2 linked regions of the Rhinolophus ferrumequinum genome follow. The protein of the gene in region 2 interacts with the protein of the main gene of each other region in a biochemical or structural test. Links are inferred from orthologs where the notes say so. Each region holds a gene or a part of one and is shown on either strand. Other genes may lie near its edges.

Evidence for each region. The genes of interacting proteins can lie anywhere in the genome.
Region 1: the proteins of PSTPIP1 (region 2) and PTPN18 form a complex in vitro, tested with the Homo sapiens proteins (2 studies listed by BioGRID and IntAct). The link is inferred for Rhinolophus ferrumequinum from reciprocal best matches to the Homo sapiens genes PSTPIP1 and PTPN18.

The regions. Positions count from the first base shown.
Region 1 is NC_046293.1:91,748,882-91,756,887, reverse strand, and holds the start of PTPN18 (tyrosine-protein phosphatase non-receptor type 18), read right to left. Parts: upstream 3,159-8,006; 5' UTR 2,723-3,158; intron 1,142-2,722; exon of another isoform or gene 1,122-1,141; intron 1-1,121. UniProt on the Homo sapiens protein: Differentially dephosphorylate autophosphorylated tyrosine kinases which are known to be overexpressed in tumor tissues.
Region 2 is NC_046289.1:100,969,508-100,977,148, forward strand, and holds the start of PSTPIP1 (proline-serine-threonine phosphatase-interacting protein 1), read right to left. Parts: upstream 3,260-7,641; 5' UTR 2,831-3,259; coding exon 2,795-2,830; intron 1-2,794. UniProt on the Homo sapiens protein: Involved in regulation of the actin cytoskeleton. May regulate WAS actin-bundling activity. Bridges the interaction between ABL1 and PTPN18 leading to ABL1 dephosphorylation.

The DNA.
Region 1 (8,006 bases), on a different chromosome or scaffold from region 2:
TTAATCCGTGTTACACTGTATACAATGATTGTGATAAATTATGTATTTAATATAACAAAAATATGATATATAATATGCAATGTATATGAATTACAATGTACACCATTACTCATGTAATAAGGTACCATAGGAACATTTTTACTGTGAGATTATTATAATTAGCAAACAGCATATTACCATCATCATCAGGTATTATTCACAATCATGACAATAACTCCTGCTGAGCCACCACTGGGTGCCAGCCACCATTCTAAGTGCTTTACTTATGCCCATCAGGTCATGTAAGCCCTCATGGACACCCTAGTGTCAGTGGGTGCTACTGTTGATATTTCTATTATACAGATGAGGAAACCAAGGCCTAGAGAGGCCCAGAGATTCCTGTGAGTGTAGAGGGCTGGCCTTGCTCATCACCCACCCACCCTAGAGCGGGTCCTCAGCATCACTCACTGCCCCAGACTGGACTGAGACCTGGATGGGCATGACGTCATATACCACCCGGGTGTTATATGCTTACATCTAATATGCACATTTTCATATTGAATAAATTATATAGTTTGTATTATTGTACATTTATCATTAAAGTATCTATTTTATTTGTGTGAATTATTTAGATTTATTTTATACTTTTATCTATTTGTTATATATTTCATATTTACTTAGGAACTTATTGGATAACTGCTTATTTTATAAACTATAATTCTATATGTTGCATTTGTTTATTCTATTGTTTTATGAAGTTATGTTTGTATAAATTATAATCTATATTTATTTTTACATAATCACTATATTTATATTTATTAATACAATTATTTCATAAATTTGTTACCTATTTTTATTGTACTGAATCATTATATAGTTATTAATTATATAAAGTATTTACATACATATATTTATCTAACTTATTTTTATATATTTATTGTATATCTCATATTTCTAAATTTGATATGTCATCATGTTGTGTTTACATATTTGCATGTTTCTATTACATAAATTATATTTAAAACATCTTATTACGTGTAGTAAACGGTGCCTATGAGGCTATACCAGCATTCCTTACACAGGGCTTGCACTACCCCATGTAATGTTTAGAATATTTGTAACTAGTGACAAAGGCTCCTTACAGAGTGAGGGCGCAAGATGTGCGAAGCGCTTTTTACCCACACCAGTTATTTCATCCTCAGGCCAGTTTAGTCTTCAGCATCCGCATTTCACCCAACGAGAAACCGAGGCCAGAGGGACTGGGTAAAGCGCCCCAGGGTCACAGAGGCGATCCGGGCCTGTGTGGCCATCCGTCCACACCCTCGCTGCCGCAGGGCCTCTAGGTTCCTCTTTCCCCAGAAGCTTCCTCCACTGACCACAGGAGTGAGAGACTACCGCCCGGTTGTCAGGAGCAGGTGCGCACCTGCCCCGCCCACCCCGCCCAGCAGCCCGAAGGTTCGGGGAACATGACCCCGGCACAGGGACCTGAGGGTGCGTGCGGCCCCTCCCAGCCAGGCAATGGACTTCGCCCTCTGGGGCCCTGCGGTTAGAGCATGAAGACTTAGACAGGGATAAAGAGCGACAGAGAGAGAGGTGCTACTGAGAGAAAAACAGAGAGACCTCGAGGCGAGGAGACACTCTAGACACCGAAAGAGATCGAGAGAGAGGGAGAGAAAGGGTGAGAGACAGAGGGAGAAGGGGGAGGGAGGGAGAGGGAGGGAGACAGAGAAAGAGAGGGAGAGAGAGGGAGAGGGAGAGGGGGGGGAAGAAGAAGGGAGAGAGGGAGAGAGGGAGAGGGAGGGAGGGGGAGAGGAAGAGGGGAAAGAAGAAGGGAGGGAGAGGGCGAGGGAAACAGGGAGAGAGAGGAAGAGAGGGAGAGGAGGAGGGGGAGGGAGAGGGGAAAGAGGAGAGGGAGAAGAGGGGGAGAGAGAGGAGGGAGGGGGGAGGGGAGAGGGAGGAGGAGGAAGGGGGAAGAGAAGGAGGGGAGGGGAGGGAAACGGGGAAGGAGACAGGGGGGCGAGAGGGAGCGAGGGAGGCGGACGAGGGGGAGAGAGAGGGAGGGAGGGAAAGAGGGGGAAAGAGCGGGAGGGAAGGGAAAGGAGACGCGGGGAGTTGGGGGAGGGAGGGAGGGGAGGGGGAAGAAAGAGGGAGGGAGAGAGAAAGGGAGAGAGAGAGAGGGAGGGAGGGGAGAGAAGGAGGGAGGGGGGAAGAAAGAGGGAGGGAGAGGGAGAGGGAGAGAGGGAAGAGGGAGGGAGGGGAGAGGGAGAAGGAGACAGGGAGAGAGAGAGAGAGGGGAGAGAGGGAGAGGGAGGAGAGAGGGAGAGGGAGAGGGAGAGGGGGAGGGAAGGAGGAAAGGGAGAGGGGGGAGATAGAGCGGGAGAGGGAGAGAAGCAGAGACAGGGAGAGGGAGAGAGACAGAGAGGAGAGGGAGAGGGGGAAGAGAAAGGAGAGGGGGGAGATGGAGGGAGAGGAGAGAGACAGGGAGAGGGAGAGAGAAAGAGAGGGAGAGGGAGAGGGGGAAAGAGAAAACGGAGAGGGGGAGATGGAGGGAGAGGGAGAGAGGGAGAGGGAGAGGGGGAACAGAGAGGAGGAGAGAGGGAGAGGGAGGGAGGGAGGGGAGGACAGAGACGAGACAGAGGGACAGAGGCAAAGCGAGGCAGGACGCACAAGACAGACGACCGGACCGTCCAGGGCGAGGAGCCGCAGCGCGCGCCCGTGCAGCGGTCCACACTCGCGCACTCACACTGAACTCGCCGGCGAGGACCGCCCCCTCCCGGTCGCCCAGCGCCTCCAAGTGCTCCAGGAAGCTCTGCGCCCGTCCAAGCTGCGACTCATAGCGCGGCTGGCCAGCTGGGTCCAGTCGGGCAGCTGCGCCGGGAGTTCGCAGCCCCAGCGGTGCCGCTCGAGGTCGAGGCCCCGCCTCCGATTTCACCAGCCAATGGGAGCGCGCAGCGGCCGGCGCCCCTTGGCCAATGACACTCAGAGCCTTCCCAGCCTCTTTCACAAGCTTCCAGACCCCGGCGGCAACTTCCCGACATGGTCCTGGCGCACTGGCCTGGGGAAGTGAGTCCAGCGCTGGCGCTTCCCTCTTTTGTGGCCGCCGCGCCGGCCCGACTGAGGCCTCACAGTCCACGGACACTTCTTCCCGCTTGGACCCGGGATCCGCGCTCGGGGCGCACCTTCCTCCTGGTGCCCGAGCTGGGTGGATGGCCGCGCGCCCTCACCCGGCTCCCCGGCCCATCACCTGGGGGCTAGGCTGCGTCGGGGAGCGAGCCTGGCTGGGGGTGGGGGTGGAGGGGAGTGGCGGCACGCGGCAGCTGTGAGTGGAGACGGCGCCGAGATGGTGCTGCCTCTTCTGCTTCGGGGACCCCGGGGTGGGGGACATCCCGCTCTGTGAGTTCCGGTGTGGTCCAAGGGAAGTCGGAAAGGTAACCGGGGGCGGGGGGAAAAGGCACACGGGCACCCGTGCTGTGAGAAAGACCGAGTGGAAGCAGATGCTCCTGAATCCGAGTATTTCCTGAGGGTCCTTTTTCTGGGTTGGGCTAGGAGGAGCTGGGACCGCCAAATTCCAGTCCTACCCTGTTTCCCGGAAAATAAGACCTAACTGGAAAATAAGCCCTAGCATGATTTTTCAGGATAACAAAAATCATAAGCTCTAATGCGTCTTCTGGAGCAAAAATTCATATAAGACCCTGTCTTATTTTCCGGGAAACACAGTAGTTTGAGGATCTAAATCTGCATATACCTACGGAGAAACCCAGAACTGAGGCCTGGAAATGGGTTCCAGGGACAAGGTGGTCTCAACACTTTCAAAGAGCATCTTTTTTTCTCTTTCCACACCCTGGGCTTCAGAAAATGTGCAGGGAAAAGCCAGAGGACAGCTGCTGCCCCAGCTTCCGGAGTCACCAAACAGAGGCTGGAAAGAGCAGATAGGAGCCTAGGGGTGTGGCCAAGAACTGGCCTGGGCAGGTAGGCTAGCCCAACCCCTTACCGGGATCACGGGAGGAATTTCGGGAAGGGAGTTGTCAATAGAGAGGGTGTCTGCAGAATCCAGTTTGAGGTCGTTGAGGTGTCGAAGGGGTGACAGTGGGTGAGGTGTACCTTGTCATGAGGGATCAACAGGGTCATGGTTCACGTTGTGGATTTAATTCATTAGGGAGTTACCAGAAAGATGTTTAAGGTAGGGATGGGCAAACCCTTTCTTAAAGGACTTTGTTCTGTGGTCTGTGCCAGCTACTCAACTCCACCAATGCAGTGTGAAAGCAGCCATAGGCAATATATAAAGGGATGAGTGTGGCTGTGTGTCAATAAAACTTTATTTATTTGTGGACACTAAAATTTTACTTTCATGTAATTTTCATGTGTTACAAAACACATGAATTCTTTATTCCCCCCCCCCCCCCCCCCCCCCCCGTGGCCTGCAGGCTGTGGTTTGCTGACGCTGGTTTGTGACTGAAAGGTCAAAGTGGATCAGTGGGGCTGTTTCATTTACTGAGGAGTTACTGGGGGTCACTGTGGACTCCGGTTATCAGTTTCATTTTTAAGGGTTCAAAGGTGGTCAGATCACTGAGGATGGACATTGATAGTGAATTCACTGGAGGCCAGTAGGAGATCTGTGGATGTTTCTGGGGACTGTCATTGGATGTTACAGCAGTCACTGGGAGGTCAGTAAAAGACAGTGAAAGTAACTGAGGGGCCCCTGGAATTTGGAGTCTTAGTTTAAGTAATTGAGGGGTCAAGAGAGTCAGGGAAGGTCACTGAGGGCTCCTACTCAGGACACAATAGTGAATGTTGGTGGAATCACTGAGATTTCGTGGATGGTCATGGCTTAGTCAGGGAGGTGGGATACAGATGTATCTATATACTCTGACAAAATAAGAGATCACTGGAGGAGTCACAGAGACTCCTGCATTTCTGAGTCCTCATGGATACTAATGGCAGTCATTCGGGACTAGTGCATATGAGCAAATGGGAAAGTCACTGAGCGATCATGAAAGCGCTTTGTGGACCCTGGTGGTAGTAGATGTCATTGAAAGTCAATGGTTACTGCAAACTGGTGGTACCTGGGGATAGAGGTGACACTGAGGGAGCAGTGGGCCATCCCTATCATCCATGGTGGTGACTGGAAGGAAGGCTGACCCAGCAACTGGGGTTTGACTAGCTGAGGATGTTCTGTCCACCTAGGGGTGTAGGCTCTGTTGGTCTGACTGGGTGGCGTGTATCTGTCCACCTGGCTTCAGGGTCTGTCTATCCAGCTGGCTTGAGGGGATCTCTCTGTATATCCTTCCAAGAGCCTGGCTTCCACATAGGCTGAGGTCTTTCCTACTGGCAGAGGTTAAGTCTGTCAAGCTAAAGGTCTGGCTGGCTAGTTGACTGGGTAGGTGGGGTATCTCTCCACTGGGATAACATCTCTTTGTCCAGTTGTGTGTGTGGGAGGGGGGCTGTCCTTGAGGGATTCTGTCTTTTGGTTGGCTGGACATGGGGTAGGGGGGACATCCATGTGTCTGGCCACAGGTCTTTCTAGATGTCTGGCTAGGCATCTTACCATCTGTCCAAGAATCTGTCCATTTGTCTGGCTGTCCTGCTGGAGTCTATTCGTCTCCCCAGGACTCTATCTAGAAGTCTGTCTTCCTGGGGATCTTTCTGCCTATCTGGGATCTTATGGCCTATAAACACAAGTGGCCAAGGCTGTGGTCCACCTGTCATGCTTCTTGCTGGTTTGGGTGTCTTTCTGGCTGCATGTTCACCCATGGGGGCACTCCATGCCCCCCTCATTGTTTAACCTGCCTGTCCTCCTGACCATCCCTCCACGTCTCTCCAAACATTCAAACTCTCCTGGCTTGTCTTCCACGCAGGCTGGGTGTGGGGAATGGAAAGATCCTTAAAACCTCCACAGCGGCCTCAGCCGGTCCACCTCTCCCTTCTCCCAGAGGACTACAAGCTGTGTTCTTGCAGTGGGATGTGCTGCTTCTGGTGGCCCCCTTATTCACCCTACTGGTGGCAGTCTTGTGCACTGGGTGCAGATGGCATGGCCCTGCATATGCTGAGCACCCTGATGCCTACATGCCACATGACAGTCTGCCACCTGAGTGCTTGCTGAACTGGCCACTCAACAGAGCCAGGTGGACTGGGTGCTGGAATGTACTCAAGGATGCTTTCGCTGTGCTGAGAGGAATCCAGCCTGCCTTCATGTTGCCAAGGAGAAAATCCTAACTATGGTGGGGAAACCTAGCAGACACCACCTTAATCTGAGAAGTTGTGGGGAGATACTCTGAGACTATTGACATCTCCACTTAACAGTCCTCTCTGCCTTCCTTTGCTAGTAAAGGACAGAAAAAAATTTGAAAAATATTCTCCCACTGCTCCCTTTATTAAGAACCTGCAGCTGGGTCTGGGCTATTGAGCTATGGCCCATCCACAAATCTGGCATTCGGCAAATAGGAAAAATGTCACTCCAGTTACAAAGTGGCAGCTTCCGTGATTGGAGCTAACTGCCTTTGGGAGGGCTTTGGTTTCAGCCTCCTGACTCTCTTCAGGGGTTCTCGGTTTGTGTTCTGAATGGAAGATCCTTCCTGGTCCCTTTCTGGGGAAACGGTCAGCAGCTCAGAGCTGGGGGAACACAACCCACAAAGAAAGCCACCCTACTTTCTGTTGCACTGCCAACCCCCACCACCCCTGCTCTTTGAAGAGGCCAGCTTTCTACCCTCAGGAACTGCCCTGCAGTAGAACTGCAGGGAAGGAAAAAGCACTCTTCCCTATTTTTAAAAAATGACATCCTTAATATGTTCATACCAACTCTTCCCCAGGCTGGCCCCCCTCTTCCAGGGCTGAGCCTGGGCATCACCCAGAATGAGCTCCAGAAGGGAGCATGTGCCTTTGGAGGCAGCCGACTCAGCCCTGACTCTGAGCTGACAGCTCAGGTTCCTGTGACCTCCAGTGTTCTGACAGTCAGCGGGCAGCATCTTGATCAGGGTCAAGCCGCCCTGCATCCTGGCTTGCAGCATCTCTGCCCAACTTTAACCCTGTACTCGGGACAAACAACACTAAGTAGCTGAAATAATATATTTGGAATATATGATACATAAATATATGTATTTGGAATAATTGTTTATTTTTTAGGTGTGATAATGGTATGATTTTTGTTGAGTGCCTATGTTTTAGAGATATATGAAACATTTATGAATGAAATGATGTCTGAGATTTGCTTCAAAATAAGCGAGTGGAGTGGATGTAGGAAGTGGGTAGGCTGTAAAGGAAACCAGATTGGTCAACATACATGGGCTCATGGACTCTTGCACGTCCGTCTGCTATGTTTGAAATTTCCCACAATTAAAAGATTTAAAATAATCAACCAGTAGAGAGGTGAACAATCGTTTTTATAAAAAGAGCAAACACGTCACAGAGAACACACAAATGGCCAATAAGCATTTGAACAGATGCACAACTTTCATCATAATTAAAGAAATGCAAATTCAATTAGGAAACATTTTGCACCTAAAGCTTGGCAAAAATGACAAGTCTGATAGTGCCCAGTGCTGGCAAGGACACAGGAAACAGATCTATTCGTAGTGGCCAGGACAGTCTCGTGAAGGACAATTCAGCAGCATGTATGATCATTTTAAAGACAAAATTCCACTTGTAGGAAGTTATTCATCAGATATACTTGCATGAGAATGCACAAAAGTATGTTCAATGATTTTTATTTCAATTAAATTTATTAGGATAACACTGGTTAATAACGTCATATAAATTTCTGGTGTACAAGCTTATAATATGACGTCTGACACTTGTGTGCTCATGTGCTCACCACCCAAAGTCTATGTCACCACACATTTGACCCTCTTGATCCTACCCCACACCCCGTCCCTCTGGTAACCACCAACCATTCTGTTGTATCTATGAGTTTATTTGTTGCTTTTTATTTTATATCCCATGAGACTGAAATCACATGACATTCTTGAAGCAATGTTTGTGATAGTAAATAAACACAGGAAACAAATGTGCAGCCATTACAAGGAGGTGGAGCC
Region 2 (7,641 bases):
TAGCCTCAGATGAGAACCCAGTCCTGGTCCACACCTTGACTGCAGAGGACCTAGCTAAGCCACACCCAGGCTCCTGACTCACAAAACTGGGAGAAAATACATGTGTGTCATTTTAGGCTGCTAGGCTTGTGGTGATATTGTTATACAACAAGAGATAACTAATACAGATAGTATCTGCCTGTGACATGTGGAGAAATATGTATTTGGTCTCTGCTCCTGTTTCATGGCGCACAGCTCCTAAAACTCTTGGAATCTCAATAATAATAATAATAATAATAATAATAATAATAATGGGTATAATCAGAGTTCATAGGCCCTAACTAAAAGCTATGAGCCATGTCCTATGGGTAAACTATATGAGCTTTAATACAAGCTCTTAGCTCCTCAGAAACCACTTCTATTTCTCTCCTTACTGTGAGCTACTGCAGGAAACAGAGCTGGCAACTCGTGTTCTGGATAGTTGAGGCTGCGAGATAACTGAAGTGCGGTGGAATTAGACAGGATTCTTCTAGTTCAGTGGTTTCCTTCCACTATTAAAGACTAGTCATTTTTATATTGTGTGCTGCCAAGCCGCAGGGTTTAATGGCATTGCCTTGGCCTGGGGTCGGGGGTGACAGTCAGGGAAGGGGCAGGCTGGGCTCTGTCCCTAACACTCCCTCAGCAACAGATCAGTATGTCTTTTGTGTCTGACAGATTTGTCTGTAAATTGAGCTTCAAGGTAGTTCTATCAACCTTGTTTGATCTTCTTACTTCTCTGGGATGTAGGACGGACAGAATTTTTCCATCCGTTTTGCCAACGTGGCCCAAAGATTTAGTGACTTGCCATGTTGATAGAGGGGAATGAAGCACCCTACATGAGAACCCAGGCACTGGAGCCAGGGTTTAATCCCAGCTGTGTGAGCTTGGGCAAGTAACTTAAACTCTCTGTGCCTTCATTTTTTTCCTCTGAATAATATGGATAACAATAGCATCTACTTCATTGGTTTAAATGAGTAAGTGGACACCTGGTCCTGGCACATCTTTAGTGCTCCGTGAGTATTAGTTGTCTTCATGGGCTGTGCTGGGCTGGGGATCAGGGGTTCCTCAGTGCTGACAGTGACATTTGGGGTCACCTGAGGATCAGTGTGAGAGGCTCCCACTGTCCACTTCTTTCTCTCCCAGCTCTGGCCTTCCCCAGGGAAGCTATACCCTCGCCCCAGGCCCAGGGAGCCAGCAGTGCAGGAGAGGGGGCACCCGGAGGCCATGGAGCCCTGAGCAGCTCAGAGGTGGGGCACATGCAGAGTGTGATTGGAGGCCAGCTCAGGACGCTGACACAGGTGAGCTGCTTTCTTGCTGCTGTCATAACCTGTGCCCTCATACACCATCCCCCACTGCTGAGGTTCTGCCATGGGGCTGTTCCTTGCCTCAGCTCTGCCCTAGAGAAGGTGCACCCAGGCACCCAGGCCTGGGATGTCCTGGAGGTAAAACAGTCAGGGTCTCCTGGCCTGCCCCGGGCTACACAGCAACCTGCCCTTCCAGGCCCTGCCCCTTTCCCCAGCCTTGTACTCCGAGTCAGAGCGGGGACGTGACTCACCACTCTCTGCCTCCCCCACTGCAGCCACCGCACCCCAAGTGAGCTGTAGCTGCCCTCCTGGTGCTTGGGATGGGTTGGGCCACCTCTGCCTTCCCCGGCTTCTCTGGGCTGATTCCTGGTTCTTTGTAGAGATGGGGAAACGAAGATCCAGAGAGGCACAGGGTGCTCTCCCTAGATGGCCCTCTGCCCCCTGTGTGGTCAATGTAGGCGTGAAGCAGGTCACTCAGAAAAGGGTCCAGGGAAGGGAGGCTGTTGGCTAACCCAAAGGGCCAGGGCGTCTTCCTTGGGACGGAAAGGGGGGCCCTCGGAACAGCCTCATTCATTAACTCTAACCAGAGAGGTCTGAGCTTTTCTCCATGAGCCACTGGGGGCAGCCAGAGCTTGAAGAGCAGATGGGAAGGTTGAGGGACAGCTAGAAAAAAGCTGAGGGGATCTGGGGTCCAAACTGGGCTTGCAGGCCGTGTGGCCTGAGCCAATCCATTTCACCTCAATGAATCGGGTGGCTGCCATTATTTCATGGAAAGGATTTTATTTACAGCTGCATTGAATTTAAGAAAGCGAGCAAGGAATTGCTCAGCCCTGCTGCCTCCTCAAAGGGCCCCTAAGGGCTGCACGAAGAGGGGCTGGGTGAGGGAAGAGAGTTACCATTTGGGTGCCAGCAAGGAGCAGGGGACCTGATTACATTTGATCACCTTGTTTAACCCTCCCATTCAGCTGGTATGTATATTAATATTAATCTCCACTATACAGATGGGGAAAATGAGGTCAGAGAAATAAAATGACTTGTCCAGCCTTTAAATAGCAGAGCCAAGATTCAAATTCGAGTTTGTTTTGTCCCCAAACCTGTGCCCCATTCCTTCCTTTGCCTTGCCTGGCCTCCTCAAACTCCCACCCACATATTAGACTCTCCTAAGAAGATCCTGCCATGGGGAGAGGGTCGCCTGGAGGAGAAAGAGCCCCGGGGGGGCATAGGGGATACCCCTTTGCTCACTGTGTTGGAGTTTGCAGAGAAATCAATACCCCAGGCCGAGGACTCGCTTCATCTTCCAACTTAGAAGGAAGAGTGGCCCAGGTCACTCCCACAATTAAGGCCAAAAACCAACCAGTATTTTTATGAGAACACCCCCATCTTCTCTGGGAACCACACCCCCATCATCTGCCCTGGGGAAACTTCAGCCAAGCTGCACTCGGCTGTTAAATTCCCAGACCGTCTTCACTCACCCAAAAGGAATCTCTGAACTGAAGCTGGGGCATCATCTTCAGGAAAATGCTGCGGCAAAACTTGTTTTCCTGCCACAGACAGGGCTGAATGAGGCCAGGAGCCAGGAGCACTGTCTCAGACCTGCCTGGTAGGCTGGCCCAGGCTCCCCCAACTCAGCCGGTGCTGTTTGCAGCACCTCAAGAGGCACACAAGCCAGAGCTGAGCTGCCAGAAGGAGGAAAAGCGCACAGCAGAATGAGGAAGGAGCAGAGCCCGGTGATGGGACGGCGGGTCCTGGTGTCCTGCCTGGCCCCTTACCCGCTGCACAGTGATGGTGGCGGAGAGCCTCCCAGGCTGCAGGACTAAGTAGGGATGCCAGCCCCAGGTAGGAGGCAGTGGCCAGAGGGAGAGATAGTTTTGTACACGGACAAGGCAGGCAGGCAGCCCAAGGCTGCACAGGAAGGTCTGTGCAACCTCTCCCCGGGGGCGGGTACCAGGGCGCTCGCCCACAGGAAGTAGAGCCAGTGTGCTCCCCTGTGCAGCTCCGCCTGCCACTGTCACCCTGCTGCTTGCCTCCACTTGCCCTCTACTGGGCCATTCTCAACGGCTGTACATTTAGGGAGCCTGAAGCCCACTGAAGGTGTGGGCAAGGACAGGGCCCGAGCCCCACTCCCGATCAGGCGCAGAGATGCTAGACTCTACAGCCCTCACCAGCAAACTGTTCGGGAGAGGCTTCCCCAGCCCTAGGACTTCATCATTCATCAAACCCTGATTTCTCGGTGCCCCAATCCACATCTGCCCTCAAGGAGCTCACGATCTAGGGGCAGACACAGCTGGGCTCTGGGGACTGTGGGAGCACCGAGGTGTGGTGAGTAGATAACTGGCCAAGAGAGAACCGTCTGAGGCTTCACGGGCACTCTCCCCACCCCAGCCCCAAGTCTCCAGATGAGACACTTTGGGGCAGGATGCCCCCTCTGAAGGTGGAGTCTTCAGACTGGAAGAATGTGGTTGGACCAAGAGAGAGAGTAGTATAAAGATACAGATGGAGGAGTTTGAAAATCCAGGTTGAGGCCCAGTTTTTGTTTTGTTTGGGCCCCACCCTTCACTGGCTGAGGGATATTAATTGACTCTCCAACTCTTTGAGCCTCAGTTTCCCCATCTGCCACCCTCAGTCTTTGGAAAGGAAAAAGTCTTGAGACCGTTACCAGAATTTCTGGTTTGGCTGGGCAGGTGCTGGGGGCATTGTCAGGTACCACCGCGAGAGGAGCCCTGGGCTGGAGCCCCAGACACAGCTCTGAGGGGCCAGGGCCTGCCCACGCAACAGAAGATGCCAGCAGGGGCTCCTGAGCCCAAAGCCAGTTGACAAGAAAGGATGAATCAGCTTGTCCACAAATCAGCACCCCCGCGAGCACCCCCACTGACGAGACAAGTGAAAACTGCTGTACAAGAGCTAAGCTCCCAAGTGCCAGAGATGTGTGCCCAGGATTGGAGATGGGGCACACGCATACTTCTGACATAGCCCCAAGAGAGAACACGTCAGGGAGAACCGCAGAGGGGTGTGGTTGCCCCCGGTAACCCCCTGTCTCCCAGACCTCTGGGTTTGAGCTAATAAACATCTTCTAATAAGTATTGAAGGCACCCTAGTTAGGTTTTCTGTTGCTTGCCGCGGAAGACATCTAATGGTATGAATATCACCTTGAACCCCAACGGCCAAATGCTGAGAGACTGCACCTCATCCCAGTGGCGTCCCGTCTCCGAAAGCTCTGACTCAGCCTCCCTGGCCTTCGTTTTTCCACCTGTCAAACCGGATAATGCCCTAGTTCTACAGGCAGACTAGAAATCCTCTGTTAATAGAAGGCTCAGACCTTCTTATCGGCAGAACACCTCGTAGCCAGTCTCTCTCCCCTGCCTCTCCAGAAGTTCCTCCCATCAGCCCCCCACAAATTTCTGCTCCCAACAGGCCTTTTCCCCTCTCCCCAAAGGTACTCTTCACACTCCTTGTCCACACCTCACCCTTTTGTCCCCCAGCCTCCCTGCTGGCATGCCTTCCTTGTTGTTCCTGACCTGGGCAGGCCCTCCCAGCCCTTAAGGCTCATCTCAAGGCTCTCACACAGGAGGCCCTCCTTTCCTAACTGCTCTGTTTCAGCTGGGGCAGCCCCGGATGGATGGCCGTGCGGGTTGTGGGCTAAAATAATTGAGGAAGGAAGTAATGGCAGGCATCTAAAGAAACCATAAAGTTCTCTGCTACGGAGAGGGCTTCTTCCTTCTCTCCTCAGCGCCCCACCGTTTGCACCTTCCAGGGCTGGGCCGGAACAGCCCATGCGGCTTTGCAGCACTTGCTGAGTGCCAGTGGCACAGGAAGGCTCTACAGGCCCTTCACACAGTCCTCCCCCCACCCTGCGGGGTGCACACTGTCACCATCCCTGCTTCACAGATGAGCAAACAGGTGACTAAGGAATGTATGTGTTGTACATCTGAAACTAATATAATATTGTATGTCAACTGTAACTGAAAAAAACAACAATTATTAAAAAAAAAAAAAGTACACCAAGCACTGTTGCTCTCACATCACTACACGTCAGTGTGGTTGTTTTTCGTTTAAAGTTCAAAAAATAAAGTGTAATTCAGTACTAAAAACAACAAAAAAAGAGTTTATGTGACTCACCCGACACCTCGTGGCCAGTAAGTGGAGCGCTGGCCTTTAGGCCAGGTCTGTGTGACGTGAAAGCTCATGCTCCTGACCTCCACTCTGCACAGCAGGTGTCTTCCTTCCTTCCTCAAGTGACGCCTCCAGAACCTCTCCCCTTTTCGATAGCTGTTAAAACTAAGCCAAGGGAGCGTCGTGGGGCCTGCGGTGCTACTTGGCAAGAGTCCAAGCCTGGCACAGGGTCTTCTGGCTCGTTGTGTGACGTGCACCCTCTGAGGGTGCCTTGACTGCAGGAACACAAAACCAGAGGGTCTGACACAGAGCAAGGGTGTCATGTCCCAACGAGGGGTCTGGAGGGAAGGCAAGCTCCGTGGGGTCCATTCGGGCCCCAATTCCGTTTCTCTGTGATTCTCCTACTTCACTATCTCCTTCTGGGGCGGCAGAGCTCTCCTCCAATGCTCCTGACACCGACACACCTCCAGGAGGAGAAAGGACGCTTCTGTGTCCCCTCTTTCCCGAGCCTCTCTTCTCCTCCGCCTCCTTCCCAACCTCCCAGGAGAACTCCCCTGGTGTCTCATTGGCCAGAAATGAGTCCCGTGCTCACAGGTCACCACCACTGGCCTCAGGACTCCCTGACGGAGATGCTCTGCGTGTTGGGCGTCAATCACCGCAACCAGCGCCGCCCCCCCCCCCCCCAGCCGCTCCGCAAGCGCTGTGGGCACCGACTGCTCCCAGACCCTGTCGGAACAGGGGCCCAGAGACAAGGCACACCTGGTCTCTGCCTTGGGGAGCCTACAGGCAGGTTCGAGAAAGATCCCTCCAGATGGGAAATGGCTCAGAGAGGATGAGACCAGCAGAGGTTGTTGTAATATCCCTGAGAGACAGATGGACCCTGGATGGCGCAGCCGGGGTAGGGGGTGGGCTGATGGGACATCAGGGAGGTGAGACATCAGAACAGAGACATACAAATGCCCCTCAGAAAAGGGAACTGTTCTTGGGCGTCCCTCTGTCACCAGCCCCCTGGGGAGGAGACTCCAGTCCTGAAAATCACAGCTTTTTAATGACTGTTCTAGCTGCTGCAAAACAGTTTGCCTTGAGGACTGGGCAGCTGTGCCTCAAGCCAGGCTGTTGCTCCTTTTTAAAGGGGAGTCCCCCTGTGCAGGCAGAGCCCCATCCTGTTTTGCACGGTATTTGAACACATCTGCCTGAAGAATTCAAGAAGTAGTAGGTTGAAGGACTGAGTATAAAATGCCAAATCAGTTGTCACAATATCAGTTGTCATAGCCAGCCACATAGCAGGGCTCAGCTCCTGAAGCCACGTCATCCATCCTTTTGAGCCAAATAAACAACACAAATAATCCTGGCTACCATTAAAGTAGTATTAATAGCTGCGGGACCTGCACGGATTTTATACACTTCATCTTACTGATTGTTCTCTACCACCATCAGCTATGTAATTTCCAGGGTCAATGCAAAATAAGAATGTGGGCCTCTTACTAAAAAAGCAGGGGGAAATTACTATTAAATGTACTAAAACATAAATGTTTTCCTTTCCCATGTTATCTTAGCCTGGCCTAGTACTTTATTTGCTGTTTAATGTTACACTCCGTTGGGCCTGGACATACTTGTAGGACAAGGGCCCTCCTCTCGTTTACTCACTTTTATGCAAAACCCACCAGCTGCTGGGTTTCCTTATCAGCCACCGGACTCCATTCCCCAGCTGGGGTCCGGGAAGTCAAGCCAGTCATCTCCCTTTCCCAAGGTGGACTGCAATCCCCAAGGGTATTTGCAAACTCATGCAAGGGTGCACTAGGTACTTGGTCAGGAGTGGAAGTCACCTGCCAAATGTGGTATAGTGCCATCAGCCACTGCTGTGCCCCATTCTGAGATGCCACCAGGCAGCCCTGAGCCTCCCCACACATGCACCCATGTCCCTGATGGGGGCAGAGGGTGGCAGGGTCGTTGCACGGGAGCTGGGAGGGGAAAGCTGAGAACCCATCCAGGGGAGGTGGCAGGAGGCAGCTGAGCCAAGGCTCTAAGTCCTTGATGCTGCATTGGTCTCCCATTGATCTTCACTTACAAAACACAAATTTGAAGCTAATATTGTGAAGAATTTCAAGATGACGACTGCAGACCCTTAAGCCCCAAATGCAGGGCCCTCCTGAGCAGCAGGTCTTGTAGTTGCACATCCTGAAATCGACTCTGCTCACTACTGTCTGTT